Struthio camelus: one gene and its partners. The protein of the gene in region 3 interacts with the protein of the main gene of each other region in a pairwise test. Links are inferred from orthologs where the notes say so. Each region holds a gene or a part of one and is shown on either strand. Other genes may lie near its edges. The genes, in order: G2E3, PTPN3 and WDR6.

The links.
Region 1: the proteins of WDR6 (region 3) and G2E3 interact in a two-hybrid assay, tested with the Homo sapiens proteins (2 studies listed by BioGRID and IntAct). The two-hybrid records come from large-scale screens. The link is inferred for Struthio camelus from reciprocal best matches to the Homo sapiens genes WDR6 and G2E3.
Region 2: the proteins of WDR6 (region 3) and PTPN3 interact in binary tests that used the Homo sapiens proteins (3 or more experiments, as listed by UniProt). The two-hybrid records come from large-scale screens. The link is inferred for Struthio camelus from reciprocal best matches to the Homo sapiens genes WDR6 and PTPN3.

What each region holds. Positions count from the first base shown.
Region 1 is NC_090946.1:53,054,967-53,065,023, reverse strand, and holds the start of G2E3 (G2/M phase-specific E3 ubiquitin-protein ligase), read right to left. Parts: upstream 4,933-10,057; 5' UTR 4,323-4,932; intron 2,036-4,322; exon of another isoform or gene 2,032-2,035; 5' UTR 2,014-2,031; coding exon 1,977-2,013; intron 1,455-1,976; coding exon 1,357-1,454; intron 1-1,356. UniProt on the Homo sapiens protein: E3 ubiquitin-protein ligase which accepts ubiquitin from an E2 ubiquitin-conjugating enzyme in the form of a thioester and then directly transfers the ubiquitin to targeted substrates. Essential in early embryonic development to prevent apoptotic death.
Region 2 is NC_090943.1:70,021,961-70,032,098, reverse strand, and holds the start of PTPN3 (tyrosine-protein phosphatase non-receptor type 3), read left to right. Parts: upstream 1-5,449; 5' UTR 5,450-5,465; coding exon 5,466-5,511; intron 5,512-5,558; exon of another isoform or gene 5,559-5,713; intron 5,714-10,138.
Region 3 is NC_090955.1:10,157,156-10,167,987, forward strand, and holds the start of WDR6 (tRNA (34-2'-O)-methyltransferase regulator WDR6), read right to left. Parts: upstream 4,810-10,832; 5' UTR 4,787-4,809; coding exon 4,720-4,786; intron 4,654-4,719; coding exon 2,247-4,653; intron 2,046-2,246; coding exon 1,956-2,045; intron 1,774-1,955; coding exon 1,657-1,773; intron 1,516-1,656; coding exon 1,397-1,515; intron 1,287-1,396; coding exon 784-1,286; 3' UTR 1-783. Other genes in the region: P4HTM (transmembrane prolyl 4-hydroxylase), read right to left, coding at 5,046-5,281, 6,474-6,597, 7,162-7,252, 7,769-7,954, 9,590-9,752. UniProt on the Homo sapiens protein: Together with methyltransferase FTSJ1, methylates the 2'-O-ribose of nucleotides at position 34 of the tRNA anticodon loop of substrate tRNAs. Required for the correct positioning of the substrate tRNA for methylation.

The DNA of each region.
Region 1 (10,057 bases), on a different chromosome or scaffold from region 3:
CTTAAGAAATGTAAAGGTTCATACTAAAATCAATTAGGAGATTTTTCCAAGTATCAGGCATCCAAGCAAAGAAAAATGAAGTGGTAACCCTAACTGGCCTCTTTCTAGAAAAATTATTTTCTTATATAGTGCTCAATATTTGAATTAAATTATTATTATTAAAGAAGTAGGCTCCAAAGCTAAGAGATATCTGCAAGAAGCTCCTTACAGTAAAGTATCTTAAAAATTAGCAATTTGAGGCCTCAAACTCCATGTAAAGCGTGCCCTCTCTCAGCTATTACGAAAAGCCATAAACTTCTTTCCTCGTTTGAGCAGGAGCATATCTACCCCATCCCACATCAGAAAAGCGTGGGCTTCCCTGGGCAACCTGTTCCAGCGTTCAGTCGCCCTCACAGTAGAAGTTGTTCCTTATGCTGAGACAGAACTTCCTGTGTTTCCGTTTGTACCTGTTGCCTTTCATTCTGTCACTGGGCACCACTGAGAAGAGTCTGATCCCATCCTTTTTACATCCTCCCTGCAGATATTTATACACACTGATAAGATTTCCCCTCTCAGTCTTCTCTTCTCCAGGCTAAATGGTCCCAGCTCTCAGCCTTTTCTCTTATGACAGATGCTCTAGTCCCTTAATCATCTTAGCGCCCTCTTGAGATCATGTTAATCAACTTGGAAAAAAATTCAAACAGTACTTGTTTATTAACACAATTTTTTTGTTAAAAGTTTTGTTTTAAAGAAAAATGTAAAGCTTACAGTTTGAAAGTTAGTTCAAGTGGAATATGAACTTCAGAAATTATCAAGTGTGATAATCAAAGTGTTCGGGTTTAGATTACATCCATAACTTTGCCCAACTTTTATTGAACTGTGACATACCACAGCTGTAAATTATCAGTAGGTGTCATATCACTAAACTGAAAAGTAGGATCGTTTCTCTAGTGTTGCAGCGTACTCCGTAATGTCACAGAATACCTCACCGCCAAACAAGAACCAATGATAAAACATGAATAAACATGAAAGCTTTTCTCTATGGTTTTCCATTAGAGGTGGAATTTTGAAATACGAAATTGTTCACTTTCTTTTAAGACACACCTTTATTGTTGTGATTGGTTGGGGTATTACCTAAGTAATTAACTGAAATTAATGAGGAACAGAATTTAGCTCTGAATAAAAGCTTGCTGGGGTTTATTTACTTAGTTTGCTATACCTGACACGTACAAGCCTTCTGGCCTACAAGTTAAAGCTGAAAGTTCAAGACTTCCAACAACAGCCAGTTTGGACAAGTAATTTCTACTTAATAAGCATTACATTTACTTTTTCCTCAGGTAAAACAGATGAGCTCCAACATCAATACCAAATACATACCAAACAGTAATAATGAACAGTGAGATTGTATTCCACATAGGTTCTCTTTTCGCCATACTTTTCAGGGCAGTCATCTGTCCGTCCACAGAGAACACAGGCTAAAATACAGAACTGTGTTTTAGGATGCTTTGTCATATGCTTACGTGCTTTTAAAACATTCAGGGATTTGAGACAAGTTTGGTGTCAACTAATCTCTGCACTTCCTAGCCCACCAACCTACTTCTACAGACACGCAGTATTCATCTTCTCTTTAAATCTCAATAGAGATATAGAACTTTTTTAAATCTAGAAGTATTTTCAATCCTCTGATATCAAGAACAGTCATAGTAGTGGAGAGAAAAGAGATACTGCTTCAACCTAAGAAGAAGTCTCGAACGACAAATCTCACACACAGCTATGTGTAACCTGGCAGCTGAATTCCCAAGGATACTTTTTTAGAACATCTGCAGAAAGGTCTGTATGAACAAATCCAAGGAAATTGACAAGAGTTCTTTTTAATTCCCTGAGACATGTTGTACCAACACAATTTGACTCTTGATAATTCACTCATTCTTTGAGACCAATAATGAGCTGTAGATGGTGTTAAAGATGTATATCAACACAAGAGAAACCTTACTTACGTGAGCTTTGAATGTCACAGTGGCTGTTTTCATTCATTCTAGTGAATTCTTCTAGCTGTCTATCATGAAAAAGAAATGGCACGTTACATATGTCTGCTGCATTGAGAATGACCACCAATCATTGCTTTCCAGATTTACTTTCTGTTGAATTCAAAAAAATCCCAAGACTCAGCAACATTTTTAAAATGGAAACAAGACGACTAATATCAGAATTCATCTGTTCTTCTGAAAGATAGAGGTTCAGAAAGCTGGATGAAGATGTTCAGAAGAAATACACCCAGACCAATGGAACATGCAACAACTTCTCTCTCTTATTTCCCCAAATTATCAGCAAGATATTTTATGTATAAAAGTCCAATACAGCAGCTAGTTCTTTCGAAAAGAAAAATAGAAGAATTTATAGTTATTTTCAACATTGAAAATAATGATCCAAGTACAACCAAGGCAGTGACTTCTGTTCAAATTAAAGATTTTATTAGCATGAGTATCTTAACGAGAAGATAAAAATTTCTCCCTTTTTTGGGGAAAATGCAGGATCCTAGCCTATTCAAAGAAACCTGATCTAAGTCTACAAAAAAAGCTGTGAAGAATACAAGGCAGGGAAACACAAGGGAACGTGCACTGTTAAGAACTATACGCCTTATATTCTAAAGAGGAGAATAATCTGTTTAGAAACATGAGCCAAACTTGCATTTCTTTCAAACATCATATGACCCTAAAAATTAGATCCATAACACCATTAGTCCACCTCAAAAAAAAAAAAGTCTTCACCACAGCACTAATATGATTATCCTTTCAACAGTGCAACAGAGCTCTTCCAGGAAGATATCTGCAGATCTTTGGCGTGCCTCCTCTTCGGAGCTGAAGAAAACATTACAAAAGCTTGGGAAGATAAGAGTCATGGGAACGCTTCCTGCAGATCCATGCTTGACCTTGCAGGCAGGTGAACAACTTCCTTGATAAAACTCAAAGCGGGCAGGGGAGGCAATTGCAGCAAGTTCAACCTCCAAACTGAAAGTCTCAGACTCCCTGCTTTCAGAGCTTTGGTATTTACAGCTTAGATGACTGCCAGGTAAAGATGGCTTTAGGAACAGCTCTCAAGCTGATCCCAATTACTGCAAATACAGCATTGCAGCCATCTGATTAGAGTTTTAGGAAAGAGGTTGCGCCAAGGAGTGAGGAAGAGGGGGGGAGAAAAAGGAGGCAGAACTCTCAGGCAAAAGGCAACTGTTCTGTGCAACTGCACTTCTTTAAAGAAAACCAGAGTAGTTGTATAAACAGAAGATTTTTGCCAGAAGACACTCTAAAAGCAACAAAACAAACAACGCTGCAACCAATTCAAGTGAAGAGACCCTTAAGAACACATATTGCACTGTCAGACAAATAATGAAATGAGAATCCAGTTCTCCCAGATATGAACTTCCGCTTTTCTACATTAAAAAAAAAAAATCAACTCAGGGACATAGAGGAAAAGACAAGAATATCTTATTATATCTTTTCCTTTCTTTTCGGGATTTCCCAAAAAAGGTCACAGCCCTCAGTCTACTATGGTAATGCAACAGAATATAAACATCTGTATAAACACAGACTGGTTTCTCAGTTTAGTGAGTACTGAAAAAAGCCCTATAACATGGAGAAAGCACGTATTTGCCTGGAAACAACATAACTCCCTTCCCCCCTCTGCTAGCTCCAGCAAAAGAGAAGAAAAATGCTACCCACCCCCAAAAAATCCTACCACCTTTCTCAAACTCGTCCAGGATAATGAGTCCTGGAGTTCACATTTACAAGTTAAAGAGCCAATGAGAACAACCGTAGAGGCTCCATGCATAAGTCCTACAGCGCTTTCTACAGAAACAAAGCAATTCTATATTAGTCTATTTGCAAGACAGGAACACGTTATCACCCAGTGTTTATAGAACTAAAGTGTAAATAAATCTTATCTACCATGCCTAAATAAGCTAAGCCAATTCGTCAGAGTGGCACGAAGTTTTGCTAAGTGCTACTAGAACTGTTTCTTTACTGCTCCAGAATGCAAGCTTTCTTTTTTCCCCCCGTGTTTTTAATTGGGGGATGGAAAAAGCACAAAAGTAAGAGGCAAGATTTCAGGTCTACCTTTTCCATACCACATGAACAAAGCCTACATGGAACCTCCCCAGATACGATCAGTTAACGATGTGTCCTAAATTTACATACGACTGGGTCTCCAGTACATCTCGCCGTTTGTTTACAACAATGCTACGTCCTGAAAGCAGCCCTTTACCCAGCGCACGGACTGGAGCAGGAAAGCTCCCTCCACGCTTGGAGGAAGAACAACCCCGACAGACTACGATTCATAAAGTCACTTACTGCCCGAGTCTCCAAAGGCTTCAGCCTCCGACTGGCGTGACAGGGAGAGCGGGAAGATTTTCTCGCAGTTATTCCGCTATCGCCTGCCCAGAGAGGAGCGGCGGGACCCAGGCATCGCTGGCTGCCCGGAGCACAGCCTGGGAGGCTGCTGCGCGGTCTCCCCTCGCGGGGCAGAGGCTCCCGCCCCGCTGCCAGGGCGGTTTAAATTACCCCGTCCCTCGCCACAACGCCCCGCCTAGCTCTCCTAGCCCTTTCCAAGGCGTCGCTACCCTCGGCTCGGCCACCCCAAGAGACCTTAGGCTAGAGGCAGCAGGGCAGAGCCTCAGCCCAGCTAAGGCGTTACTCACCCGGCAGCCGCCCCGACAGCACCGCCGCCGACCCCGCGCTAACCGACACACAATTCAAACCCCAACATCCGCCAGCGTCCCGGAAGCGGCGAACCCGCCCGCCCCGCCCCGCCCCGCCCCCCAGATCCGTCACATCGGCACTCAGCCACTTCTGTCGGGCACGCCACTTCGGCGGGAGGAGCCTAGCGATCTCGGCGACCGGCACTTGACTGGGGCTGACTGGCGGCGCGCGCACAGGCGCCGCTGGCTCCTGCCCCCGGCCCGGCCGCGGGCGTCGCTGCCGGGGCGCGATGGCGGCGGGCGGGCGGGCGGTGGTAGGGAGGGCCGCCCCTTCCCTTCCTTTCCCTTCCCTTCCTTTCCCTTCCCGCCGCCGGGAGGCGGGGCGGGGCGGGCCGCGCCCGCTTCCGTGGCAGTGGCAGTGGCGCGCGGGCCGTCAGCGGCCGGCGGGGACGTGGCGGAAGGGCTGCCTGCCGCCGGGCACGGCCAAAACCCTGCCAGCCTCGGTGGCCAGGCAGGAGGGTTTTACCGTCCCTCACTCAGCAAAATAGCTGGGCATAGAGTTTAATAAGAATAGGATCAGGCGCAGGGTTTGGACAGACAAGCGTGCTGAGCAGCAGCTTGTTTACACACAGCTGCTCCCTGTTATCCCCCTTCTGCTCCATTTTCCTGTGCTTGGTCCTAATCTGCCTTGATAACCACCCTTTCCCCGTTTTTGGCGTCCCCCCAAATACTCCAGAATACGCTTTGCACAGTCACACAAGCACCCTCACACATAGTAAGTTTGTTCTTGCCGTGAGGCTTTTGATAATCTTGTTTCCCCCTTCTTATCAACCAGTACATAGTTCTGGCTGAACCTCCTCAAGGCTTTGACTGGTTCCTTCAGTCATCAGTGGCCTGCGGGATCTGTTTCTTGGTATTGCTTCCGTTGTCTCCTGTCCCTTCCGGTTTCTGTGTCCGGGGGGGTTAATTTATTACTTCTGTCTCTTGTCCAAGTCTTGTATGCTGAATAGCTGTTAACCAGAGAGCCTCAAAAAACAGATTATCCTGACGTATCCTTCCACATATCCTTACAAAGTGTAATTCTGAAAAAGAAGAAAGACACCTTGCAAAACAGGGCAAGAAGTAGAGATAGGTAATTAATAACTTGCTAAAAAATTTTTTTTTTAAATTAGTATCGGTTTTCCTAAATGTGCTTCCATATGATGGGTGATCTGTTTTATCCGATAAGCTAACACCTATCTACTGTATGAACAAACCAGAATAAATTCAGTCTGCTATGTGGATTTCAATCTAGATTTTGAAGATGAGAGTATCACTCTTGGCTACCCTCTTTCTGACTTGTTGACTGTTCTACTGAAGGAGGTGGCATTGTATCAGTGTGAAAGAACAACTTTAAGGCTGTGTTCTGAGAGTTGGGCCTTAAACCCGTCTCCACATTCTGGATGAATGTCTTAACTAACGGTCTGCTGAATAAAGAAAGGATTTTGTCATTATACTAACTCCACCTTTTGTAATGTATATCTTAACTCTTTTACTGTATGCTGATAATTTCTGTTCTGTTTGTTTTTCATTTCTTGATTTTCATTTCAGCAAGGAAAAACCTAAACATTTTTTTCTTTCACCCTCTATCAGTTATTCAGGTAACCCTACCCAGAAGGGAGAAAAAGCTCCAAAGGAAGAATTAACGTGTGAATGTATCTGCATGCCTTGCTGTTTTTTACGGATTTTTATGAGGGAGCCTCAAACGTTAGCCTGTACTTATATACAAATCTGACAAGTGATAGCATCCTCCTCTAAGCACCCAAAGTATGGTAGGCTGTCTGGAATTCCAAATCATGTATGGAGCTGCTCAGTGATGGCTTGGCTTCCTAAGTTTTTAGGGCCTAGTTATGCAGGCAGCCTTTTATACCTGATTTCCATGGCTATATATTCATAAAAGTTAAAGAATAACTAATCAGAGCCTTATTCTTTAATTGTTTGTAGGAAAAACAGAAAGGTGGACAGTTTAACTTAACATTTTTTTTTTACCATCGCCTTTTTTAGTTCCTTTGTTTTCAGATGTCCCTTTGAAAAGTATTAGCTTGCTATTTACCACAAAACACAAGTTTTTTCCTAGTCCTCTCCTATTATCTCCTCTGGTCCTTGTTTGAATGTTTTGGTCTAAAATCTCTTCTGATTGTTCCCCGTGTCTTTTAAATTCAAACATACCACCTCTTGGCAGCAGGATTTTTCTCACAAAACAGCAATTTTAGGTCTCTTGGTATTGGGTTGCTCAGATAATAAGCAGGTATGTGAGCAGCAGTGGCTGGGAGTGATATTTCTCCTGCTGTGAGACTGTGTGGTTTCTTCACCCAGCAAAGCTCAGATACAGCCTGCATTACTGTGTTCCATTGTGGGGCATGAGTTTATTGTGTTTATATAAATGCAATACCACTTTGTGCCATTCCTTGGCCTTTCAAACAGGACATAAGCTCAGTTGCTTATAATTTTTCCTTCCTGAGCTAAAAGTTTAAATGGTCCTTCTCTTTTAGTATATCTGAACAGTGAGTAATGATCAGCACTCCACTAAGGGCAAGCCAATTGCATCTAATAGATGGACCTAGGGGAATAACCACAGTATTGAAGTGGAAGTGATTACAAGTATTCTGTCTCTTATCCTTTCTGAACTTGAGAAAATACTTAAAATTACTTTTCTACGTGTCACAACCAAAGAGTTATAGGTCAGATACCCATAGCTTTTAAACTTATTTATTGAGATTTTTAGGCTAATTAGAGAAACTTAAGAAGCTTCTCCTTTACTTCCAGTAAATAAAAGGCAGAAAAACTTCCATGATCACATATTTACTTATCACGTATTTACTTATCATCGCCCAATCTAATTAAACAAACTCTAGCCTGTAGGTGTAAATGTTTTGTTTTGCTTGAATAGTTTATGTTTTGTTTTATGTTTGAAAGATATACTTAAATGTCAGTGATACTTGCCATGTAGAAAGTATTTTGTAGAGTGCTTAACTGCAGATTGTGCGTGATGCTACTTAGTGAAGTATTTGATTAAGATGCAAACAACCAGTGGCAGTATCTGTTCAGACAGTAAGATACATCCTGTTTTTTAAAGCACAAGAAAACACTGCCTGTTCTTCTGTTTAGGCGTTTTTCCTCTTTCCAAGATATGAGTGTAATAGTAGAAGAAGGTTTTAATATATAGCTGTAAGACCACAATGTTAGAATTGCATGCTGAGGGCCAGCTTTGGGGTGTAAATCCAAAGGCAAATAGTACCTGACGCTGGCTTTTGTAGTACATTAAATAAAGCTGCATTTCTTACAACTGTTTGTTACATCACTTACTGTGAAAAATAAAACTGTGTATTTGTATTAAGTTCTGCATTTCATGTGTAACATTCCTGCATGTTAAACTAATTACTATATTGATCTACATCTTATTTATGAAGAGTCAGAAAAGAAGTATAGCTGGAACTCCTACTCATATCAAACTGCTCATATCAAACTACTCCCATCAATTGACCAGCTAGATAGTACAGAGGCTTTCATGTATCTGCAATGATTAATCTCTTGCTAAGTTGCGGTTGAGTCGTGCATGAAGACCTGAAGTCATCCTGTCACTTCAAAACTGGGAAAGAGGGACTTTTCTGCTTTATTTTTCCGCCATCAGTCATGTCCCAGAGATTAAGACCCTGTGAAACTCTGAGAAATTCCATTTTTTTAAACTGTTTATCTACCAAGTCACTCTCAGTTGTCTAGATAATTATTTAATAATGCTATATTCATCCACAGATATTGGTAAGGACAGCATGTGGAATACTGCTTTGTTCTAATAGAAAAAATGTACTGAACACATGGAATAGCTTGGGAGAAAGAGCTAGTAGCTAAGAAATCCAGTGAATTTTCATTCGTACTCTTGTCAAAGGAAGGCAGATTTGAGCAGGAGAGGGCTTGGGTGTATAAATTCTGTGAATCAACTGTGGTTGATTAAAACCAGGAGAGAGTAAAAGAGCGTCCTATTGATGTGTACTATTTATACCTTTTTTAGAAGGGCACTTTGTTTGCCAAGTTTACTCACTCAAAATAATCTCTGGATAACTTTTCCAGTGCATAGTTTCAAGATCTACGTTTTAGACAGATTAACCTGTAAGACTGTAAGCTCTGAAAGCACCGTACAGTTGTAATCCTTTGCTCCGTGTCCTAAATTTTAGTTGCTGTACAGATTATGACTAATAGGGTAGTGATGAGTCAGATCAAGCTAGAGTTGAACCCATATTATCCTGGTTATGGAGTGATGTTTATTGCTATCAGTAATTAATAACCTTCTCTTAGCTATGGAGCAGTCCACAATTTACAGATGGCTTTCCAAATTACTGACGGGGAAGCGTTTTGTATTTTTCTTTACATAGAATAGAACAGTATTTGGGACATTTTTGTTATCCCGTCATGGCATATCTGGAGGTGAATATTGGGTCTGCTTCCTGAGGTTCATCACATCACCTGAACACTATTACTGTTGTGAAAACAGACGTAAAAAGTAAACCTTGTTTGATGTCCACATTCCCCAAGAGACTCAAACCTTCACAGTCTTAAAATCACTGTTGATCTCCATTTCCTTTGATTCTGATCATTCTGGACTTCATTTTCCTTTTTGGTGGGATAATCCACTCTGAATAAACATGCAGCAGCAGTACATGCTTCCCAAGTCTCCAAAACTTCACAAGCAAGACTTACATTCTAGCTGTCATAGAAACAAGAATATCCCAAATGACCTCATTTGGATCAAACGTTTTTGAAGAATGGCAGTTATTGCCCTGGAGAGTGGACCTCTTTTTATTTTTTTCCTGCAGAATAGGGTAAAACATTGGGCAGTGGCACAGTAAATTTCTTCATGCCATGCTGCCACTTGGATTGAACTGTGCACTAGTAGGGACCGGGTAAGCAGATCAGGTTTCAGCAGTCTAATGAGACTTTATATTGTCCCAGCAGACAGCAAATGTGATTACTTGTAATAGCTCAGATGCAGCGATATGGCTCTATCCTCAAAGTTACAAAAACTTCATACGTCTTTACGGAGTGCCAGTCACTACCAGTTTGTTCTTGATTTGAGCCAAAGACCTCCAAGGAGAAAGATTCTGCCTCTCTAGTCCTGGTTCTCTGTGGGCAGACCACTGAGCTAAGGAACTTGGCAGATCTCGGTTCTTTTCCTCATTCTGGCACTGGCCAAAATTGTTTAATTTTCCTCTGTCTTAGTTTCCCAGTCTGTAGGGAATGAATAATGATATTGATTTTCTTTGCAAGATATTTTGAGCACCATTTTTTAAGAGCTCTGGGCATTATTATCGACTTGAGTTCCCTTAGAATAAAATTTAAACTCTTAAACATAGT
Region 2 (10,138 bases), on a different chromosome or scaffold from region 3:
CTTAGTTAGCTATACTTGGTTTCTAAACAGATATATCTTGCTTGGGAGCAATGTTAAGTTTTTTGTGTCAATCGAATAACATGACTCAATGGAATATTAAGCTGGATATATTCAGACTAGAACTAGCGACTAGAATAGCTTGCTGTTAATTATGGTAGATCCTAGATTCTGAATTCATGAATGATGCAGATAATCTTTCTTTTAAAAAAAAAAAAATCCTGTCAAGGGAAAACCTTGGCTGAACAGTTTTGTGACCTTCTTACATAGCGAATCAAGCTTACTTATATTATCAGTTGTTCTTAGTTGTGAATGTACTGACTTCTGTTAAACATTTTTGATGGATAACATATCCAACAGCATCTATTGAGATTACTTTATGAATGGAACTGAAGTCTTAACAAGTGAGACCTTAAAATCTAATATACTGCAGTCTAAAGCTAGCCATATGATCAGATATTTTGAAGAGAGATTTTGTTAAAATTGTCAATTACAAACCCTGTTACTTGTTAACTTGTGTATGTTATGGCATTTGGCTTATTTAAAAAGAGTGACATGTTTTATGCTAGGTTGTTCTGCATATGTTTTTTTAGTTGCCTAGAAAATAAATCTTTCCAAGCATAAGAAAACTTTTAAAAATACTTCTCTTTTGGGTGTCAAAGATGGAAGCAAAAGACAAATGTATGTATTAAGCTGGGATGAAAGAGAGAAATCAGCATATTGTTTAGTATACTAAGTGCCCATTTGTTTACCGAAGGCAAAAGTAATTTTTGTTTTGTCCTGTGTGCTTCCCTGCTCCTTCCATCTCCTACCCACTTTTCCTCTTCCCCCAAACATTTGTAAACAGAAAATTAACTTAAAATGTCAAATTCAGTTTCTTCTCTTCCATTTCCTAGTTTAGTAAAATAACTTCTAGGACAAAGATAGCATGCCGATCATTATGACCTTTTCAGTACAAAAGTAGATTTTGGGCCATATGTTAAGAAGCTCTGAAAAACTTGTTAACAGTACTAGGTCAATTGTATGCATATTAATGTTTTTAAATTGTCAGATATATACCTAGAATTGTGTAACAGCCTTTCCTGGTTATATATGGCTCACATCCTCCATTGAAGCTCATTTGCTCTTCTTTCTGGCATTGAGGAGAAAAACTAGCTTTACAACAATTTGCTGTACATTACAAAGTAAAGTTGAACTCTTAGCACGAGGAGGGGAGGGGAAAGAAAAAGAAAGCCTGTTTTACTGGCTCGATCAGATGGCAACTTCAAGGTGATGAGAGGATGTGCTTCTCGCCAGCAGATAAGGCCGGACAGTGTGATGAGTCTAGGTTTGTTGTTCTCCTTCTTTTCCATCCATTGAGATCCCTTTTGGCAATCTGATGCCTGACGAATAAGCAAGGTGAAAGTTTCAGTTTCTTCAGTACATTTAATTTTAATGTGCTGTCAGGTGACCCGCAACAACTTTGGATCATTCGTTAACCTCCTGGATCGATTTTGTTGTCTTAAGAGCATGTTTGTTGTTCGTTCCTCCTCCCTTACTCTCTAAATCTGTTTGTTAGTTTCAGCAAGTTTTATAAAAACTTAGATCTAGATCTAAAGACAGTAAGCTCACTATGAATTAAATGAAAAATTGTATAGGAAAGAAAATAGTGTAGAAGAGGCTCTGGATTGGAGCCTCAGTCAGGAAAGGTCTGTAGTTTGAGGCTCAGCAGCTACTCAATTTGCCTGCAGGGTAATGACTGAGCAGGTGCCTGACTTGAACTCAGCCACTACCAGTGTTGCCTCACTCTACCTACCCTGATGTATGGCTGTGGCGGGGGGCGGGTACTGAAACGTTTTGGAGAGTCAAAGGCTTGGCATCAGGGAGCAATAGAGAAGAGCAGCTCAGGTTTGGAGAGATGGCAGCTTAGGACTGTAAAGCAAAAACCTGCAGGAAAGCCAGCTTTGCTAGTTGTTGTTCAGAGACCAATAAGTTTCCATTGTGTTCACCACCTTTCTTTCCTGAATTTCTTTTCAGGAGTAATGATCTTTGTTCTATTCAGTGTTGCACCTAGCCATGTTTGTGAAGATTGATGCATATTTTTGTTCTCTTTCAAATTTCATCGGTTTTAGAATTGAAGATCTACTTTAGCTTGGTTTGTTGTTAAAAGAGGTTAAAAATGTGTCTTGCTGGTAGTAATATATACCTGGTAACGCATGAATAGGCTAATTTTTGAATGATTTGAGGTGTGTGGTCATCCCTGGAACGCAGTTATAGCTGTGGGTTTATTATACAAAGCTATAGCTTGAGGCAGTGACATGAAGGCTCAAAATCCAAATTCTGATCTCATTCTAGCTGAGCAAATGAGAAACTAGATACCTGACTTAAAGGTCATGCTAGTAGGCCCCTAAGCACAGTGAGTGCCTTGGCCAGCTGAGGTTTATATAAGTGCTGCACGAAGGAGAATGAGCAGACTAGAAAATGCCCAAAAAGGGCATTTAAAGATATACGCCATGTGCTGAGTTTTTGATTCTGCTGATTTCTGGAACTTGCACGTTTGCTTATTATGCATATAAAATAATTAACCAATTATGAAATGCATGATAGTCACAAAATGGCAGGATACCAGTGAAGGATGTAGCATGTAACTGATTTAAATATAAAGGAAAGTTGTAGACTGAAATATCTGGATCCCAGTTATTGGACAGTTATGCTGTGCGCTTTTTAGGGAGCGGTGCAGAGTTATGCTTGCTACTTACCGGACTGCCCTGAATAAAGAAACTTGCATGACTAATCCATTGCGAAGTTGTGCATTGCACAAAGCTAAGTGAGTCTAGATGCTGGAAGAGATGGGATTAGTAGTATGTGATCACCCTGGTGTGCCTTTAGCATTCGGTAGGACAGAGTGACCAGTAGCAGAGGCAGACACTGAAAGAGGTCAGTAATACGTTACTAAAATATTCAGTAATATCCAAATAATTTGAGCAGTTAGAGGTATTGTAGTTGATGTAAAGTATATATAGTAAAATGTAGTTACGTGAAATAAATGTTCTGCAGACATAAGCTTCTAATAGTTGTACTTGCTGCGTTGTTGATGTTAAGATATGACAATCTTCTAGCGGTGGATAATTCTTGCAATACAAAAATTTCAGTTTTCACTTCATACTTAGAGTATGAGTTATTTGACAGCGTGATAATTAGGATAGCATATTGGATTTGAGGGTCTGTTTCTTGGTGTACTGAACTACCGATGTACTCCTCTTAATGTGTTTGGAATGTTTTTCACAGATTTCTTGAAAAACAATTAAGTACTGGAATAGGTTGCCCAGAGGTTTGTTGGAGTCTCCCTCGGTGGAAATGCTCAAGATTTGGCTTGATGGGACCCTGGGTAACCTAATTTAAAGCCCTACTTTCAACAAAGGTTGGATCAGGTAGTTTCCAGAATTCCCTTCCAGCCTAGACTTTTTTTATGATTCTGTGATTTAATTCATGCATAGCCATGTTTTTCTATAGTATTGGTGATAGTTTAATCCTATAACAATAACATTAATCTTGTTAAAATAGCCCAGATCTTGTTCTGCTGAAAATAAACGTGGGAAATAAGTTAGTCCACTAGTGAAAATGTTTACCACTGCTCAGTGGTACTGTTACGATAGGACTTGACGCTGTTCTGTATTGGAGAGACGGCCGTAATGCTAGTATTAGTAATTATTTTTATGCCTATGAGAGCAGAGTCCAAAGTGAAGAAAGAGCTCTCAGTCAGGTTGCCTCATAGGGGATTTTGCTTGATTAAACACTGCTTTATCAGGTTGTTATTCAAAACCGTGTTTCAAAGATAGCCAGAAAACAGTTGACCAACTGTACCAACTACTTTTTTTCTTCATTGTTTATATGTAAATCAAAGGTTGAATGCCTAACTGAAGAGGATTTTATGGCTGAGTACATGGCTTTATGTTGCAAAATGAACTGAGCGTGTTAAGACAAACTTATGAATCGCATATATATACTTTCAAGACGATTTGAAGTGATCGAAGCCTGATTTGTTTTATGACTTTATTATTATTAACCAGGTTTCTTCAAAATGGCAACCTTTAGTGGTTGGACTTCCTACTGCAAATCTTTTCTTGCTTTTGTGAGACAGTTCATTGCAGAAAACATTCAAAAATGAATGTAAGCTTGTAACATCCCTTGTAACGGTATGCTACCTAGCATTTCAAATTTTGCCAAGGAAATTCTGTGGTGTAGTTGCTCAGAAAATAATGCTAAGGTCTGTGTTGGCATGGTGAGATCTGTAATCAATGAAATGTGTATAATGCATCAGAAAACATCAAACTTTAAACCCACTCTTTAGAGACTGGGACTTCAATAGCTCTTAGTGGAGATGACAGAGTCCTGTAAGCCTCCTTATGGGAAAATATGCTTAAAAACACAAATATTCAAAATCTTGTGTACTAATGTGCTTACTTGCATATCAACTGAAGTGTAGGGACTAGTTGGTTGCATTATGATTTGCACTGAGTTTGGCTAGCAACTTTCTGGCTACTATTGCATATGCTCAACTTTGCAGCCCAAGCCTAATACTTTATAAGCATATTTTTTTACAGTGACTCCTTCTCCGTTACGTCTGAATTTTGCTGTTCTCTGGCTCTTTCTTTTTTCTGGGGGATGGGGGAAGGGAAGGGGAGAGAGGTAACCAACACAGTTGTTCTAGCTTGTTAAGAGTCATTTAGTAGGGAACAATTGTTAACGTGATCAGTGCTCCTCTAAAGTAAAAGCCTTCTGTTTTTTACCTGCTATATTATTGCTATAGATTAGGGGTTTTTTTTTTCTTTTTATCATTTCATATCTTCTTTCTTTGCATCTAGATCAAGTATACTTTTATTTTTCCCCCTAGCACCTAACCATTTTAGGACCTGTCACTTAAGTTGGGAATAAGGTGCTTCCATTCTGTTTGCCTGTGAGAAGAGATGTTTAATATAGATTTTTTTTTCCCTATTTTTCCCTGACTTTCTGACATAATACAGTCATCACAGACCATATGCAAACATATAGCACTGCTTCCAGCACTGATATTGCTGTCATCTTTCTGTATTGATAGTTAGATTATAATTAACTCTTGTCTGCACAATTAGAAATATAATAATTGAGGTGACAGCTTTCCTTGGGGGAGAATGGGGGAGGACAAAAGATCCCCAAACAGGCTAGCCCTAAAATAAAGGAAGCCTCTGTTCTAAATGTTTATTATTGCCATTTAGTCCATTTTCTAACAAGCAGGGAATGCACAGGATTCATATCAGATTTCTTTTCAGCAATAAGACAGAGCAAACTTTCTAAATTAGTATATATCTCAGGTGTTTTGGAAACACCACCTTTGGTCATTGTTTGTGAACGTGCTCCTCGTTCCCTAGTATTGAATTGTTACTATTTGGTTAGTGAGACTTTTTTTGGCTCTCCACATTCAATTTCAGTGCAGCAGGAGGATGCAGTAGATGCACTTCTGTTTTCTGTTTGATGGCATAGATGTTCTGCTCAATGGTATGAAAGGGTCGGCCAGGAGTTCCTTGAACTGCTCACTTCAGAGTGAAGCTGCTGGGGCCTAGCACAGCCAGACTCATTGCTAGATTCAGTGTTAAAACCTAGTTTGTGGTTCAGCTTGCAGAGTAAGAAAATTGCTGGCGTTGGAAGCAAATGGTGCTCTGAGGTTTGGATTTCTGGAAACAGTTATCCGAGGAAAGTGGTGAGCCGAAACAAACTTTTCAAAAATTCAGAACGCATGTTTTACCAACAGAAATAAGCAGTTCTCTGCTTTTTGCTCCTAAGTAATTGTCATCCTCAATGGTTTCTCAGTTGACTGTAATATGACAAGGTTAATTTTGTCTTTTCTTCCTTTAATTTATCTATCAATGTTATTCCAAAAGATATGTAATTCTTTTGCTTGTAAATATTTTTAATCCCTTCTTTACTGCCCTTGGAACAGGAGTTGTATTTTAACACTGAATTCCTGAGACTTGGTATCAGTGGACTGATGAAGAGAGATCTGATATAACCTGTCTAGACTCATAAATTTAGGAAAACAAGCTACAATCTCCTAGGGAATTGATTTTTTCCTTAAGCTGCTTCACAGCAATTGATGGTCTATATTTAATGAAAGATATATTTTTAAGTGGTGCTGGTAGGGATCTGTACACATAAGTATGTTGCCCTTCCTAAATCCTTTCTCTCTGGCTCTGATCTCCTAGTTCATTAGGAAAAAACTTTCATCATCGTTTCAACAATAGCAGATAACCACTCTCTGCTATCTTATCTAATCTATAATTTCTTCCTCCTCCACTTCTGCATTGCTTTCATATTCTTGTTACTATTTACTTTGTTCCAACCCATTGCATTATGCTTTTACTCATAGTTTGTTTCATGACTGATCTGCTTATTCTCTTTGGAACCCCTTATACTCTTCAAGTCCTATGTTAATCATTGATTCAATTAGTCCTATCAATTCTGATTTATTTTTTCATCTGAACGGTGTCTGATCTAGTGCTTTCCAAGATCGATGGAAAGAAAAGTTCTTTTTTTCATGAATGCGGTAAGAACTAGACAAGGAGGCATTCTCTCTTTCTGTTTTTTCCCCGTGATTTGGAACTGCCTTGTCAGCCAGTGCTGCACTGTGAAGTTGTCATAACCTTCCTTTTCGAACGTGTTGCTGTGGTTCTTGTTGTTTCGTGGCTGCTTTTAGTTTGCAAACTCAGGATAGGCAGCCATCCTGTAACTGCATTCAATCCCTAAAAAACCTCTGCTACCACTTACTCTGACTAGTTTTGCATATGGCTTTTATTTTTAAAAGATTCCTGTTCCTGTCATATTGCTTCAAAAAGGGCTGTAGCTGCTTCCTGAATTTAACGCTGATGAAGGTTACATACCTTACATATCTGAAGTTTGGCTGGATTTAACAGTTAATAAATCTCTGTTACATGCTAAAGGTGTTCTCTCCCCTCTTCATGTTTTTTTTGAGAGACTAACTTGCTTAGGTGAAATTCTAGATTTTATTAGTAGTAGAAAAGTGTACATGGCAGAGGCCAGAGTTTGTACTTTGGTTCCAAAGATCAGCTGCAGACTGAGCGTGTTCATCATATGTAAATATTGATGTCACATTCAGAAAGTTCTTGTGGATGAGCAGACCACTTACATGGTCACAACCTGATACATTTTGCACTAGAAAAACAATTAAGATTAAATAAACTGAGCTGAGTGATTTTTACAGAGGTGTAACATAGGGTAGGTAATCTAGAATAAAGGTCATTATCTTTGTTCCTAATCTCAGTATAAGCTTAAATATTAGGACTCTATGTAAAGGTTTAGCTAATAGCTTTTAAAATAAAGTAGCTAATCTAAATCAGTTACCAAAGCAAAGTAAGCTTGACAATATTGCTTGAAGTATTGATTTCAACTTAATTTCTCCTTTAAAACTCTTATGACAATCTGATGTTTTCAGGTAAACTGGCTGTTTACCTGAACATTGATTTGGCAAAATACTTGCTTTTGGTTGATTGACTTGTCCTCAGCAGAATCAGAACATAGTACTGTGTTCTCAACCAGGTTTTGTTTTGATGCCTTTCCTTTAAAATACACTTCTAGTTTATTACATGGTTGTGAAAGAAACGCTAAGGAAAGAAAACAATAATTCTGGACTTTTGTCCTCTTTTTCAGTCTGGCTGTACTGTGATTATAGTTCTGATTTGATAAGGTGCTATAGTGCACTCCCTCTTCTCTCCCAGCCCTTCCAAATTATGTTTTGAGGAATTTGCCTTTTGGGAAGTGTTACTTGTTACCGCTGTCCTGTGAAGTGCTTAATGGTGAGGGAACCTGGAGAGATTTGTTGGATCTCACCACTATAAACAACCTCTCCTTTTTGCTCCTGTTTTAGTATAAAGCAGCAAAGTTGGCACTGTGCCTGCATTCCTCTGTAATCAGTTGCCACAGCATGCTAAGATTGCTTTGAGGGAAGTAGATAAATATTTTACCTGCCAGCCGGGAATACAAAAGCTGAACTAGGAAGGATTGGGGACTGTAAGATCTACTTGGGAAAACTTGATTTTTGTGTGGGTGCGTGTGTGTGTATGTTAAAAATGCTTGGCACCATTTCACATATGAACTGATTTGAGACTTAAACCAACCTCTGGCTCCAAAACTCAACAATATCAGCAGTTCAGTAGGTAATAGACTTGTGTTCTAAAACAAGGAAGTTGTTTATTTTTGTGAATTAAATCAGTCTTGCTGTGCAAGGGAATATAACAAGCTTATATTTATAAGGTTCATGAGACTTGTTACTTCAAGGTAGCAACAGGAAGCTTTATTATAAGTGCTCATTAGTTGGGCAGCTGCATTAAAAGCAAATGAACAACAACAACAACAAAACCCTACGTGGGCTTGAATTATTTGTGAAGGCACTATTTATTGTTGGGATAGTTGGGGAAAAACAAGGGGTGGGGGTTGTCTCAGTCAAGAGAGTGAGTAGATCTTTACCAAGTCGCCTTTCCAAAGTCATGCTCTACCCTGCCCCAGTTTACTCCCCTTAACTTCACTGTCAAGAATTGTCTGGCCCCATCCTGCTCTCTGTGATTACAGGCCTTCTCCCTTCTAACTTCTACCCTGTATCACCACTGCTGACCTCAGTACTGATTACCCAATGCCTTCCTGTTGATTTGGGGTTGGACATCAGCTCTCAGAGCAGCACCTGCTTCTCTGCAGGTGATTTGTAGTAACTGCAGCATGCAGACTTACCTCTTTGCCAGTGCCATGAATTAAAAGTTTGTACAACTAAGCAAAGTAACAGTTTAGTCGCTTCATGGTAGAAGGTTTGGCATATTTCTGTATGACGTATGTCTGGCCCAGTATTATCACCTGTCCTATGATGATGAAGGGCAGCAAGGCATTTTGCTTGTATCAAAGGAGGTGTTCTCAATGTGTCCAGGTGCTCCTGAGCAGCTAGCTGCTGCTGTTGAGTTGTCCAGCCAGCCAGCACCTGCTGGCCAGCTAGGCAGCTGAGTGGTGTTGTATGCTGACCAAGTGACTGAATTTTGATTGAGGGCTAAATGAATTGGTTTTTTGAAAGGAAGAAACTGACCAAAAGATTGCTGCTGGTCCATACGCTGCAGAGGGAAGAAACAGTGTCTATTTTAGATTAAAGTTCTGCAATGGGCTTTCCTTGAGGTACCTTATGCTGCAGTTGCTAGGTGCGTGTGAATTTTGTAGTGAGAGGAGAAAAATTCCCTTACAGGGATATAAAGATATAAATGTTTGGATTTCTTTGGTCTAAAGCATACACTGTTTAAATGCTGATGAAAAACAGAAAGCATGGATTGTTTGCAAGATAGGATGTGTTCTGTCATGCATTTACTGTACTTTTTTCTTCACTGTGTGTAGGAATTGCTTTCTTTTAAAATGCAGACACCCTAATATGTGCAGGGATTAGAAAATTTGCTAGCCATTTTGGGTGGTGGTGCTATTCCTTTTTTTGTTGTTTTTTCTTATTCTCTTAATGCAAGAAGGACTGGCATGAGAGCACTATGCAGTTAGCGCTGCTGCAGGTCCTAACAGTCGATTTGATCTTGTTAGAACATAATAAATTGATGTGATCCTAGGTGTGTTGAAGTCTGTGCTACAAACCAAAAAAAAAAAAAGTGTACTTTGGTAAGCTTAGAATATAACTTTATCAGCTAATCATAAATAGGGAGGGAGATGAGATGATGATACAGATGAAGGAGCAGAAAACTGTTTTTCCGTGAGGATTGTTTACAAAGCGCAGATGTTCTTATGACTGGCTTTTTGTGTTCTCTGTTTGCTTTTTCTTAAAGACTTGCAAAACTCTTATGCTGTAAACTTTCTTGAAGTTCTTCTCCCACTGTCCCTTAATGTGGCAAATAAAATTCAAATGTATACATCTTGAGTTTTGCTAATCTGAACGTGTAAACTCACAAGTTATGGTCAAAGTAGTAAGAGGTGCTTTAATTTCATCATATTTTCATCATATCATAGCTTCTGGCTATGAGTCATGAGACTTTTGTGACATTTTCAAGCTCTTTCCTGTAGTTTGAGAGGTAGAACTTTGTGTGATTACTTCAAATAAAATACTGAGTTTTGAGAGATTTTTAGATAGAATCTTCTGATT
Region 3 (10,832 bases):
CTGGGGATGGCTGGCTCTGGGTGTTACAGCGTGGCAGGGGGTGTCCCGCACTGCCATCAGGGAGCCCCAGCCACCTCCCTTACAGTGTAAGGCTGCCTCAGCCTTCAAGGTGGCAGCTAGGGGCTCGTCCTCCATGGAGCGAGGACAGTCCTGCTGCAGGTCACCTGCCAGAGCCAACACAGCCTCCAGCCTGGACACGTTGTCACCAAGGGGCTTTAAAGCCAGAGCTGAGAGATGCAGAGACCTGGCCATGCTCATCACAGTGGGAATTGAGCTTGTGACCCAGGTAGCAGGAGCCTCTGAATTGCTGGGGACCAGGCTGGAGGGGGACGCTGCAAGGCAGAGCAGTGTGCTCAGCACCCTCCTGAGCACCTTTCTTCCAGGACCAGAGCTGGGAAGTGTGGACCTGTGTCCCCCCTCACCCCCTAGGAAGGTGGGGGACACAAGAGCTCATGCATCGCCTGGGCAGGACAGGCCCCAAGGACCCTGCTCGTTCCCTACTGCTTGGGGAGCCATGACCACCTTGCCCCACCAAACTGCCAGGCCATGACACCCCGCAGGAGCTGGGACAGCTCTGAGGTGGCAGTGCTGTCCCCAAAAGTCATCTCTCCAAGGGGGATGCCCAGGCTGGGACCAGGGTTCAGGTGGACGGGAAGAGCCAGCTTCCCGCACCCCCCCCCACAGGCTGCCAGGCCGCCACGTAGCGCTCGTGGCACCCGCCCTGCCCGCCGCAGCAACACGGGGAGCGGGGATCACCGTGCGCCTCCTCCCCCCCCCCGACCTTTACCGGGGTGCTTGGGGCGGCGGGGGCTCGGGGCGGGCGGTCGGGGCCGCGCAGCGCACCAGCTCCAGGCCCTGCCCGCAGAGCACGCAGTAGTAGTGCGGCTCCCCGCCTGGCTCCGCCGGCGCCTCCCAGCAGTCCAGCTCCGCCAGGTCGGGCACGTGGAAGAAGGCGGTGCTCAGCGCCTCCAGGCCGCCCGGGCCCAGCTGCCACAGCGTCAAGCGCTGGTCCACCGAGGCGGAGAGCACCAGGTCCGGCCGCAGCACCCGGATGCCCGTGACGTGGGCGGCGTGGGCGCCGGGCCGCGAGAGCCGCTCCAGGAGGCGCAGGCAGGCCCCCGGCGCGGCCGCCTCCTCGCCCCGGGTCACCTCCACCCGGCACACGTGGATGGAGCCGTCGTCGCTGCCGCTGGCCACCAGGTACCGGCCGTCCGGCGTCTCCCGCGCGTGGAGGCTGTTCACGCCGCAGCTGTGCGCCACGACGGTGAGCAGCGGGGCGCCCAGGGCTGGGAGGAGAGGCTGCGTCAGGAGAGCAGCAACGCTCGAGACGGCGGAGGAGCTGCCGCCGCCTCGCAGCCGCCCTCGGGACGGGGCAGGGGGCGGCGGAGACACCCACCCAGGGGCTGCATCGCTCCCTCCGCTCGGTGCAGGGCGTCCGCGGCCTCGGCGATGGGGACGGTGATGTCCCAGAAGGCGACGCTCCCGTCGGTGGCCGCGCTGCACAGGAAGCGCCTCCTAGGAGAGCGGCGTCACGGGAGCTGCGCGCGCCCGGGGGCCCGAGCTGCTCCCTGCCGCCTCCCGTCCCCGTCACGCGGACCCCCCCACCTCCGCGAGGCCGAGCGCCCGCTTCCGCCGGCGGCGCCGCTCAGGGCTCACCTCGCGCCTCCCGCCTGCCCGTGCAGGAAGGTCTCCACCTTGAGCACGCAGCGCTGGTGGTGAAACGACTCCGCCACGAGCACCAGCTTCCGGGCGGCCTCCAGCAGCCCGAAGACCCTGCGCGGGAGCAGAGGGCGGTCAGCTCGGGGAGAAGGGGCTCCCTCCCTCCCCGCAGCTCCCTGCCGGGGTGTCCGCGTCCTACGCGCGCCCTCCCGCTCCTGCCTCGGAGCCCGGGGCCACCACCCCCTCCGCTGAGGCTGCTCGTGCCCCAGCGCCGGCGGCCCAGGGCGGCTCCTCACCGGACAGACCCGTCGCTGCAGGCGGCAGCCAGGAACTTGCAGGGTGTCGGCAGGCGCTCGGTCCCGGGCACGACCGCGAGGGACATGTACCTGCGGCAAACGCACGACGCTTGCTCGCTGCCCGGGTGACGAGAGGAAGCCCGCGGCCGGCGCGGGATGCGGCGCCGAGCGCTCGGAGGCGGCAGGAGGAAGGGCTGAGCCGTTCGCTAACGCAGCGAGCGGGCCTGGCCAGCGCAGGTCCCGGGACCGCCACCGCGGCCGAGCCAGCCTCAGGCTGCCACCGAGCGTCACCTGGTCTCCGGGTCCATCTTGACGAGCTTGTGCCTATTCTTCATCCGGTCCCAGTGCTCGTCCAGGCGGTGGGAGGCGAGGTGGGTGACTTCGCAGGCCACGGTGCTCTCGGACGCCGCGTCCCCGGTTAAGAGCAGCCGGTAGCACTCGATCTGCGCCCGGCCCCCGGCAGAGAAGAGCAGGGTGGAGAAGTCGGCGTCGCCGGGCTGCGCGGGGCCGGCCAGCGCCAGCGCTCTCACGCTGGAGATGTGGTCGTCGAGCGTGGCGAGGGGCACGGCGGCGCGGGAGCGCTCGCTGAGCGTGAGGACGCAGGCCGTGGTGTCCTCGCTGCCGGTGACGAAGACGTCAACGGCGGCGCGGCCAGGCGCCCGCACGGCCCCCAGGCGCCGCACGCACGCGATCTCCCGCCCGTGCAGGGACGCCAGGAGCACCCGCTGCTCGCAGGGCTCAGCCGCGCTGCGGTAGAGCATCACGTCCCCCTGCTTGACGTAAGCGAAGGCCTCGGCCGAGGGGCCGCCGCTGTAGCTCCAGGAGCGGTGTCCCCCTCCGCAGGGGACGCAGTGGAGGTTCTCGCCGGTCCTGGTGCTCCACACCACAAAGCTGTCGGCGTGGAAGCCCAGCACGAGCAGGTCCCCGCTGGGGGCGAAGCGCAGCTCCTCGAGCCACTGCAGCCCCTTGCAGGGCCTGTGCTTCCGCAGCACCTCGAGCTGCCGGGCCCGCAGGCGGAGCTGGCGGTAGCAGCCGTCCCGGCCCGTGCTGTAAACGTAGCCGCCGTGGCAGGTCACCGAGGTGACCCCCGTCTTCCCGTGGAGCCCGAAGAGGACGGACAGCGGGCTCTCGAGGGGAAGAGCCTCTTTTCGCGCCAAGAGCGAGGGCTCCGACTCGCTCCCGGAGTCCTCGCCGACCGGGCAAGGCGCGTGGGCAGAGCCGGGGCTCTCGGCCGCCGGCCCCGCGGGGCGGCTGCAGGCGAAGAGGAGGAGGGAGCCGCGGCGGTCGCCGCACACCAGGAGGCCGCCCTGGGGCGGGAAGGCGGCGCAGGTGTGCCAGCGCTGCTTGCAGGGGGGCAGCAGGTAGCGTCCCCTGAGGCGCAGGGCGGGCGGCCGCCCGGGGCGGCAGGCGACGTCCAGCCAGAGCATCTCTCCGTGGGGGCCGGAGGCCAGCAAGGCAGCGGCGTCGGGGGGCAGCCCGGGGCGGGCGGCCCAGCCCAGCCCGCGCACGGCCCCCTCGAAGAGCCTGGCGCGGGTCACCAGGTCCGGGAGGTCCAGGGCGAAGACGGCCAGGCGCCCGTCGCCGTCGCCCAGGGCGCAGAGCGCGTCGGCCCGGCCGGGCAGCGGGACGGCCGCCAGCACCCCGCGGGGCCCGGCGGCGAAGCCGGCGTCCAGCACCGGCGCCCAGCGCCCCTCCGCCGCCTCGTAGGCCGCCAGCCCGCCCGCCTCGTCCAGCGCCAGCACCCGCCGCGGCCCCGCCAGCCGCACGGCCCGCGGCCGCCCCGGCGCCCCCAGCGCCACCGCCGCCGCCGCCGCCGCCTCGCGGGGCCGCCAGAGCCTGACGCCGCCGTCGGTGCCGCCCGTGGCCAGGTAGCCGCCGGCCGGGCGCACGGCCAGGGCGCGCAGGGCCCCGCGGTGCCCGCGCCGCGCCCGCCGCACGCCGCCGCCGCCGCCCCACTCGAGGCAGGCGCCGTCCTCGCCGGCGCTCACGGGCCGCGGGCCGCGCAGCCCCACGGCGCCCACGCGCGCCCCGTGCCCGTAGCACACGAGCAGGCAGGCGGCGGCGCCGTCGCCGCCCAGCTCGCCCACGGCCCAGAGCCGCACGCTGCGGTCCTCGGAGGCGGAGGCCAGCAGCCCGCGCGGCGCCGCGTAGCTGAGCGCCAGCACGGCGCCGCGGTGACCCCGCAGCCGCCGCCGCGGCGCCGCCGCCGCCGCCGCCCGCCACACCACCACGGCGCCCGCCGCCGTGCCGGCCGCCAGCGCCAGGCGCGCCCAGCCCGCCGCCGCCCCGGCCAGCGCGGCGCAGCGCAGCGCCCCGGCGCCGCCGCACCGCGCCCGCCGCAGCCAGCTCCCGCCGCCGCGCCACTCGTACAGCGCCACGGCGCCGCCGCCCAGCGCCAGCGCCAGCCGCCCGCCCGCCGCCCACCGCGCCTCCCACACCCGCGCCCCCACCTCCCGCGCCGCCCCGCCGCCCGCCGCCGCCAGCGCCCCCCCCGCGCCGCCGCCGCCGCGCCGCACCGCCAGCACGGCCAGCCAGCGCCCGCCGAACGCCGCCACCCGCACCGCCCCGCCGCCGCCGCCGCCGCCGCCCGGCTCCGCCCGCAGCCCCTGCACGCTCGCCTGCTGCAGCACGCTCCGCCGCCCCGCCGCCGCGCCGCCGCCGCCGCTCAGCCGGAACGCCGCCACCTCCGGGCCCGTGCCTGCCGGGACAGCGCGTCAGCCCCAGCCCGGCCCCGGCCCCGCCACCTCGCCCGCCCGCCGCTCACCCGCCAGCAGCACGTCCCCCACGAACTCCAGCGCCGTCACCGGCGCCACCAGCGCTACCGACTCCATCCCGCCGCCGCCGCCGCCGCCGCGCCCGCCCGGCAGCGCTCGCCGCCCATTGGCCGCGCCCCGCGCACGCTGATGAAGCGCTCGCCGCTCATTGGCCGCGCCGCGCCCCGCCCCCGCAGCACGCAGAGGCGGCGGCCGTGTCTCCACGCTTTATTGGCGCGCCCCGCGGCCCCGCCCTCCCCCGCCCAGCGCGGGAAAAAGCCACGTGCGCGCCACCGCGCGCAGAGCCGCTGCCCCCCCCCGCTCCCCCCCCCCAACCCTACAGCTCCACGTGCACGCCGCTGTAGGCTTTATCCACCGTCCACTCGCCCGGGGCCCCGGCCCCAGCTCCGGCCCCAGCCCCGGCTCCGGCATAGCGCGCCATCTCCTGCTCGAACCGCAGCTGCCGCCGCCGGTTGGGGTCGACGTTGATCCAGTTGTTGGCGATCCACTTGGTTCCTTGGGTGACGAGGCAGCCTCCGTGCAGCGCAAAGTCGTCCAGCTCCCCCACCCAGCCTGTGAGCACACAGCGGTATCACAGGGCCGCAAGGAGCAGCCTTAATGCTACCAAATCCCAGCAGAAAGGAGCGGCCCAGGGCAGGCTCCCGGCGCATGAGCAACTGCCGGTTGCTTCGTGTCTCCACTCAGCACCAGGGGCTGACGTTTTGTATCACAGCTGCTGTTTTTCTCAGCTCTTCCCAACAGCCGAGGCTGGGATGGAAGACATGGGTGCTGCCACTAGAAGGCCTCTGGGGAAGTCAAAAGCTCAAGGCCATATTAGACACCACATTTCAGCAGCTCCAGCTGATCTATTTATAGAGGTCCTATGGATTTTCTCTGTGTCAGACTCACATCAGCAGCCTTCTTCTGTTTAGGAACAATTTGCTCATAAAAATACAGCAACAGGGCTCTTACAGGACAGTGATGGTCCTGACATCGTTATCCAACAGCCCAAACATTGGCCTTGTGATTTCATCTGTGGATTTTCTGTTAGAGATGGAAACAGAGGCCGCTCCCAAGAGAAGTGAGATACCACTTGCCTTCTCCCCACCAAGGCTCAATTTCTGTCACTGAAACGCTCTGGAGTCATACTCACCAACAGCCTGGAAGATCCAACTTTATCCCCCAGCCTGACTGAATGTCAGGGACAAGAAAAAATTGCACTGAACTTTGTGAGAAAAACAGCCACCCTTTGAACATCATCAGGCTGCAGCTAAGCTATACAGCAGGAGCAAACCCCAAGCGCAGCAGAGCCTCGCGCGGGGCGGACCATGCCCATATGGGTTACAGAGCTTATGGCCGTGCCTTTGTCTACCTCCCCTCCCCACTCCTTCGGGCAACACCACATCACTGAAACATTCTGAATTGCGGACCAAGTTCCAGCAGGAGTTTCAGCTCACACAGCAGGAAGAAAGGCAGCTGGCGATGGCTGGTAACAGCCACGGTCTTTGTTTGCTAACTAGTCCTGTCCCCCAAAGCCATCAGGAGCTACTGACCTACTGCCTGTAAACAAAGGCCTTTCAGAGCCAGGAAGATCCTACCCAGCTGGTGACAAGTAGACTCAAAAGTTCCCACTGGAAGGCAGCTACCACCCCCTTGGGGGGGGCTCTCCTCTGAGCACCCAGCCACAGCAAAACCCATAAAAGATGGCTGTCACCCCATGCAGTCCTACCCCGCCCAAGAGCCAAGTCCTGAAATGGGATGGTACCTTCTCCATCTGACAAGTAGTTGTACCAGAAGACAGCAGTGCCTTGCTGAGGTTTCACTCGCAAATTGCCCTTATCACAATTTTTCCGAGTATCTCGCAGGTCAACATCATTCTGGATCAGAGACTGACGAAAAACACAGAGAAGGGATGGTAAACAGGGCTAGAAGAAAGTGCGCAGACTGTACTGCCTCCACTGCCAGTCGTCATCCTGCCCTCTGCCTGAACGCTCCGTGGGAACAGCTCTAGGCACTGGGCAGGACGGGGCTTTCACAACCCATCTGGAGCAGCCAATTTCAGCCCCCTGGAAGCCCATGACTGGTTCTGAGCAGCTCCCCTTTCCTTAAATCATGGTTTGGCAGGAGCACAATATGCTGGCCAAGACTTAGCCTGAGAAAACCTACCCAGATACAAGCAAGCAGGAGCTGCATTATGGCAGCAAGGGCTTCTCACACATCTCTGAGCAGTGAAAGCTGCAGTTGTCAAAGCCCTGCACATCTTCCCTTGGTCTCTGAGCGAAAGACAGTACGCAGAGCACAGCTTTCCTATGTTCTAGCTGAAAAGGCTAGCGTCTGCCAACCTCACCCTCCAAACCCTTTTTGCAGCCACAGTGAACAAAGAGATTTAGAGAAGCGCTCAAAGTCAGGAAACAGTGAAGTCCCCAGGGATAACAAGTAGGAGAGTCATTTACCATTTCTTCGTATGTCCTGTTATCAGCTATAGGAAAGACTGTTTCGCCTCCCCCAGTCACATTGTTCAGGTAGAACAGCACTGTCACGTAGCTGTAAGAGAGAGCACGGAGTGGCTATCAGGGGACACCACTGGAACAACAGGAGATGTGTGGCAACCGTCCATATCCTGCCCCTCCATCATACATACAGTGGTAACTCCCAGACATCACAAGACACATGGTTTACATCAGCTTTTCTCCAATGCCAAGACAAGGACAACAAAGAAAATCTCCACTCGCAATGCTGACAGTGCAATTCTGGCCTCTGGTGGGGACAGCCCAGCAGCTTGGCAGAACCAGCGTGCTTGGCTCTTCTCACTGGCCTGCAGACCCGCAGGATTCGCTCACTTCTCCCTTCACACCCATTTAAGCCAGCAATCTCCAGAGCCGGTTTCTGAGCCTGCAACCTGAGCACTAAGTCCCCCGCATAAGGTGAGGTGAACCGGCTCTCCACACCTTTCTGTTAGTGTGTTCCAGATAAGTTAATAAAAAACTTTCTTCCGAACGACCGCTGCAACGCCCCGGCCAGGCATGCAGCACAACCCCAAGGTTTCAAGGCAGGACTTACCGGCACGAGGTCTCAAAGGGAGCACTTTCATTGGCGACCAGTTTGGTGTGGCTGCAGGCAGTCTCGGGGAACACAGGGCCACTGTCCATGTGGGCATGGTAGTGCCCTCCTTGGTCATACCGCACAACCTGGAGGGGCTCGCTGTGCTCCACAATCTCTGGGGGCAAGCGAGTCAGGCGCATTACCCTGGGGAAGAGGAGAGTAGAACAGGTGAGGAGAAAGCACTGTTACCCTGGTCAGCCTCTACTCCCAAGCACCGAACAAATCCAGAGAAAGATAACCCCCTTCCCCAACAGACCGGACAGACGGATGGGCTGCAGCAAGCATGCCAGGAGATAACTAGGTCCTTACAGATCTGTTGGACCATCAGCATCAGCTCAGAAACTCCTCGTCAAGGTTAATAAAAAACAAAAACGAAGGGTGCATCTCCAGCAGGACTGCTCTCAGGAAGGCTGCTTGCTCAGAAAGATCCCTTCTGTGTGTGTCCCTGGAGCCTTCATGTGCCATCTCATTGCTTCTCAGGACTCCTGCACACCACCTACAGACCTCGGGGACAGTTAGCAAAGCAAAGGGCTCCTGCTGAGAGTGAAGGAGAGACTAGCTCTAGGAATATTCTTGTCACCTAACTCACCTTTCCCTGTTGCCGTTTCAACAGCCTCCCCCCAGGGCAGAGGGGCATGGGAAGTGATCAAGGAGATGGGAGCCCTCCTGCTCTGGGATTTTTCCGCTGCTACATCTGAGATCATCCCCAAGGCAAGCAGGTACCTCTCGAGACCTGCCAAAGAACACTTAGAGCTCTGAGAATCCAGACAGCTGAAGCCCTGGGGACAGGCACAAGGCGGGTGCAGCACTGAATCAGGGTGGCGGAGCCCATCCAGGCACCGCATGGTCCCATGGAGGACTTTAAGAGCCTCCTTCAGCATCAAGTTTCCACTTCCACAGAGGCGTTCTAGCAGTGACAAACCAAAGAGCGTAAAAGCAACATGCTGATGCTTGTGGGCCCTGGCTAGCTGGCACAGAGCCGGTGGCACCCACTGTCTCTGCTCTAATCAAGGCAACGTGTGACCCCGTTCTCCCTCTGGAATGCACTGAAGAAAAGGAGCGGCCAAGAGCCATTTTCGAACCTCGGGACAGATTTTTACCCACCCATGTCCTGGGCGAGGACCAGCACCACAAGAACAAGAGAGTCCCCAGCCAATTATCTGAAACTCACCACAGCTAAACGATTTGGCCTGGGTGCTGGTTTTCAACTCTTCCCAATAACCAAATCCAAGATGAAGGGAAAGATGAAAGGCTCTCCCATCTGCTGTGAGGCGCCCTGTTAGACGTGTGCTCAGAGGATTACACTAACTCAGCTTACTTGAGATAAAATCATGCTTGTTAAAAAGTCAGTTCTGAACAGCTAAGACAGACTTCAGTGAAATGCATGAGTAGCTAAAGCAAATGACAGTAACTACTGGCACCCAGACAGCATTGGAAATGAACAGTTTCTCCCAGTAAGCTTTTTTACTAATTGGAATGAATTGCATCAAATAATGCCAAGTCTTCTTGGTTTTAGTAGGCTGTTCCCAAAAGTGAATGGAGATGTTGAAAGGTTTGATTTTTTCCCCCCTTTTCCATGGGACAATACAAATTCTTGTTCTAATGAGAACCTCCTCTCCCCATTTCATGCCTGCGCTCAGTGCTCTTTATACTCCAAAGGCTTTCACGCAATTAGGAAATGTAAATATTAACAAGTCTCCCACTACATCTCCCAGCACAGGTGGCCTTTGTGCCTGCACCAGCCCTCCTGCCCCTCGGCCGCTTGGCCGGAGCCCTTACCTTTGCCGTATGCCTCGCATGACCTGGTGCGCCCCCTCGCCCTGGTACAGCCAGGTGTGCTGGCTGTTCCGCACCAAGTCACTCATCTTCACTTTCTGGCTTCCCATGTACTTGTGGAAATCACGGATGTTCAATTGTTTGAACTCCTCCAAACTCAGCACACCTACAGGAAGGGAACAAAAGCGGGCTGGCTCTTGTGCAGCTGCCCATAGGTAATGGTTTTTCGTGTCCGGCACTCAGAGTCATCAGCTGAGGGCACTGCTGAAATTGCCTTCCTCAAACAAGCACCCGTAAGTGCCCACCACTGTAGGCACAAGAGTACAGACCCCAGCAATGCCTTTAGGTGAGTGGAGGGCATACAGCAACCTGCAGAAGTGAGCCTTCAGCTGCAGGGGACACTCAGCATTAGGACAGAGAAAATACAATTTTTAGCTTTCTAAAGCTCCTAAAACACAAACCAATCCATCTGAAAAGAGAAATAACTACTACAGTTCTAACACATGCAACGTTGTAGCTAAATATCTGAGTATGCTGACTTCTCAGAGGGTCTTGTTACTTTTAAACATGCCTTTTTAAGTATCTAAGTAGAGTGGGACACCTCTGTCCACATTTTCTGCAAGACCTTTTAGGGTTATTCTAAAAAAAGCAAACCCAAATCAACAAGCAGGAGGTTCTGCATTTGTATAATTAAAAAATATGAGAGAGAAATACAACAGAGAATGATCCGGCATAAATAAGAGTAACAGAAAAGTGAGAGGTAAAAAGGGGCTTTTGCTAGAACGGGTATTTCTTGTTTGCACTGAACTGTACTTGGCAAGGGATGGATTTTTGCCTCTGTCAGCTTCAGAGAAATCCTCACCCTTTGCTCTTTCCCCGTTCTGGAGAAGAAGGAAAGTCTGTCATTGGGGACCAGATCCCCGAGACCAGAGCAGGCAGAGCGCTGCACTGGGCAGCCCAGCAGCGAGCACACATCGACACCTCACAACATGTTTAACTCCAGACTGGAAGAACAAAGCGCCTGCAGGACCCAGTGCCCAGGCAGCAACTCCCCAGACTGCGAGTGGAGCTCGCTCTGGCAGTAAATACACTGCTGCTGCGATGCCAGGGCTGCTTCCTGGGCACAGAGCACCCTCAGGCAGGAGGGAGGAAAGAGCAGTCGCCGAGGTCAGCCTAGGACACTTCCCCAGGTATCGGCACTCATGACCAAATTATTCACCGTTATTATTTCTAGCTCCCTGCTCAC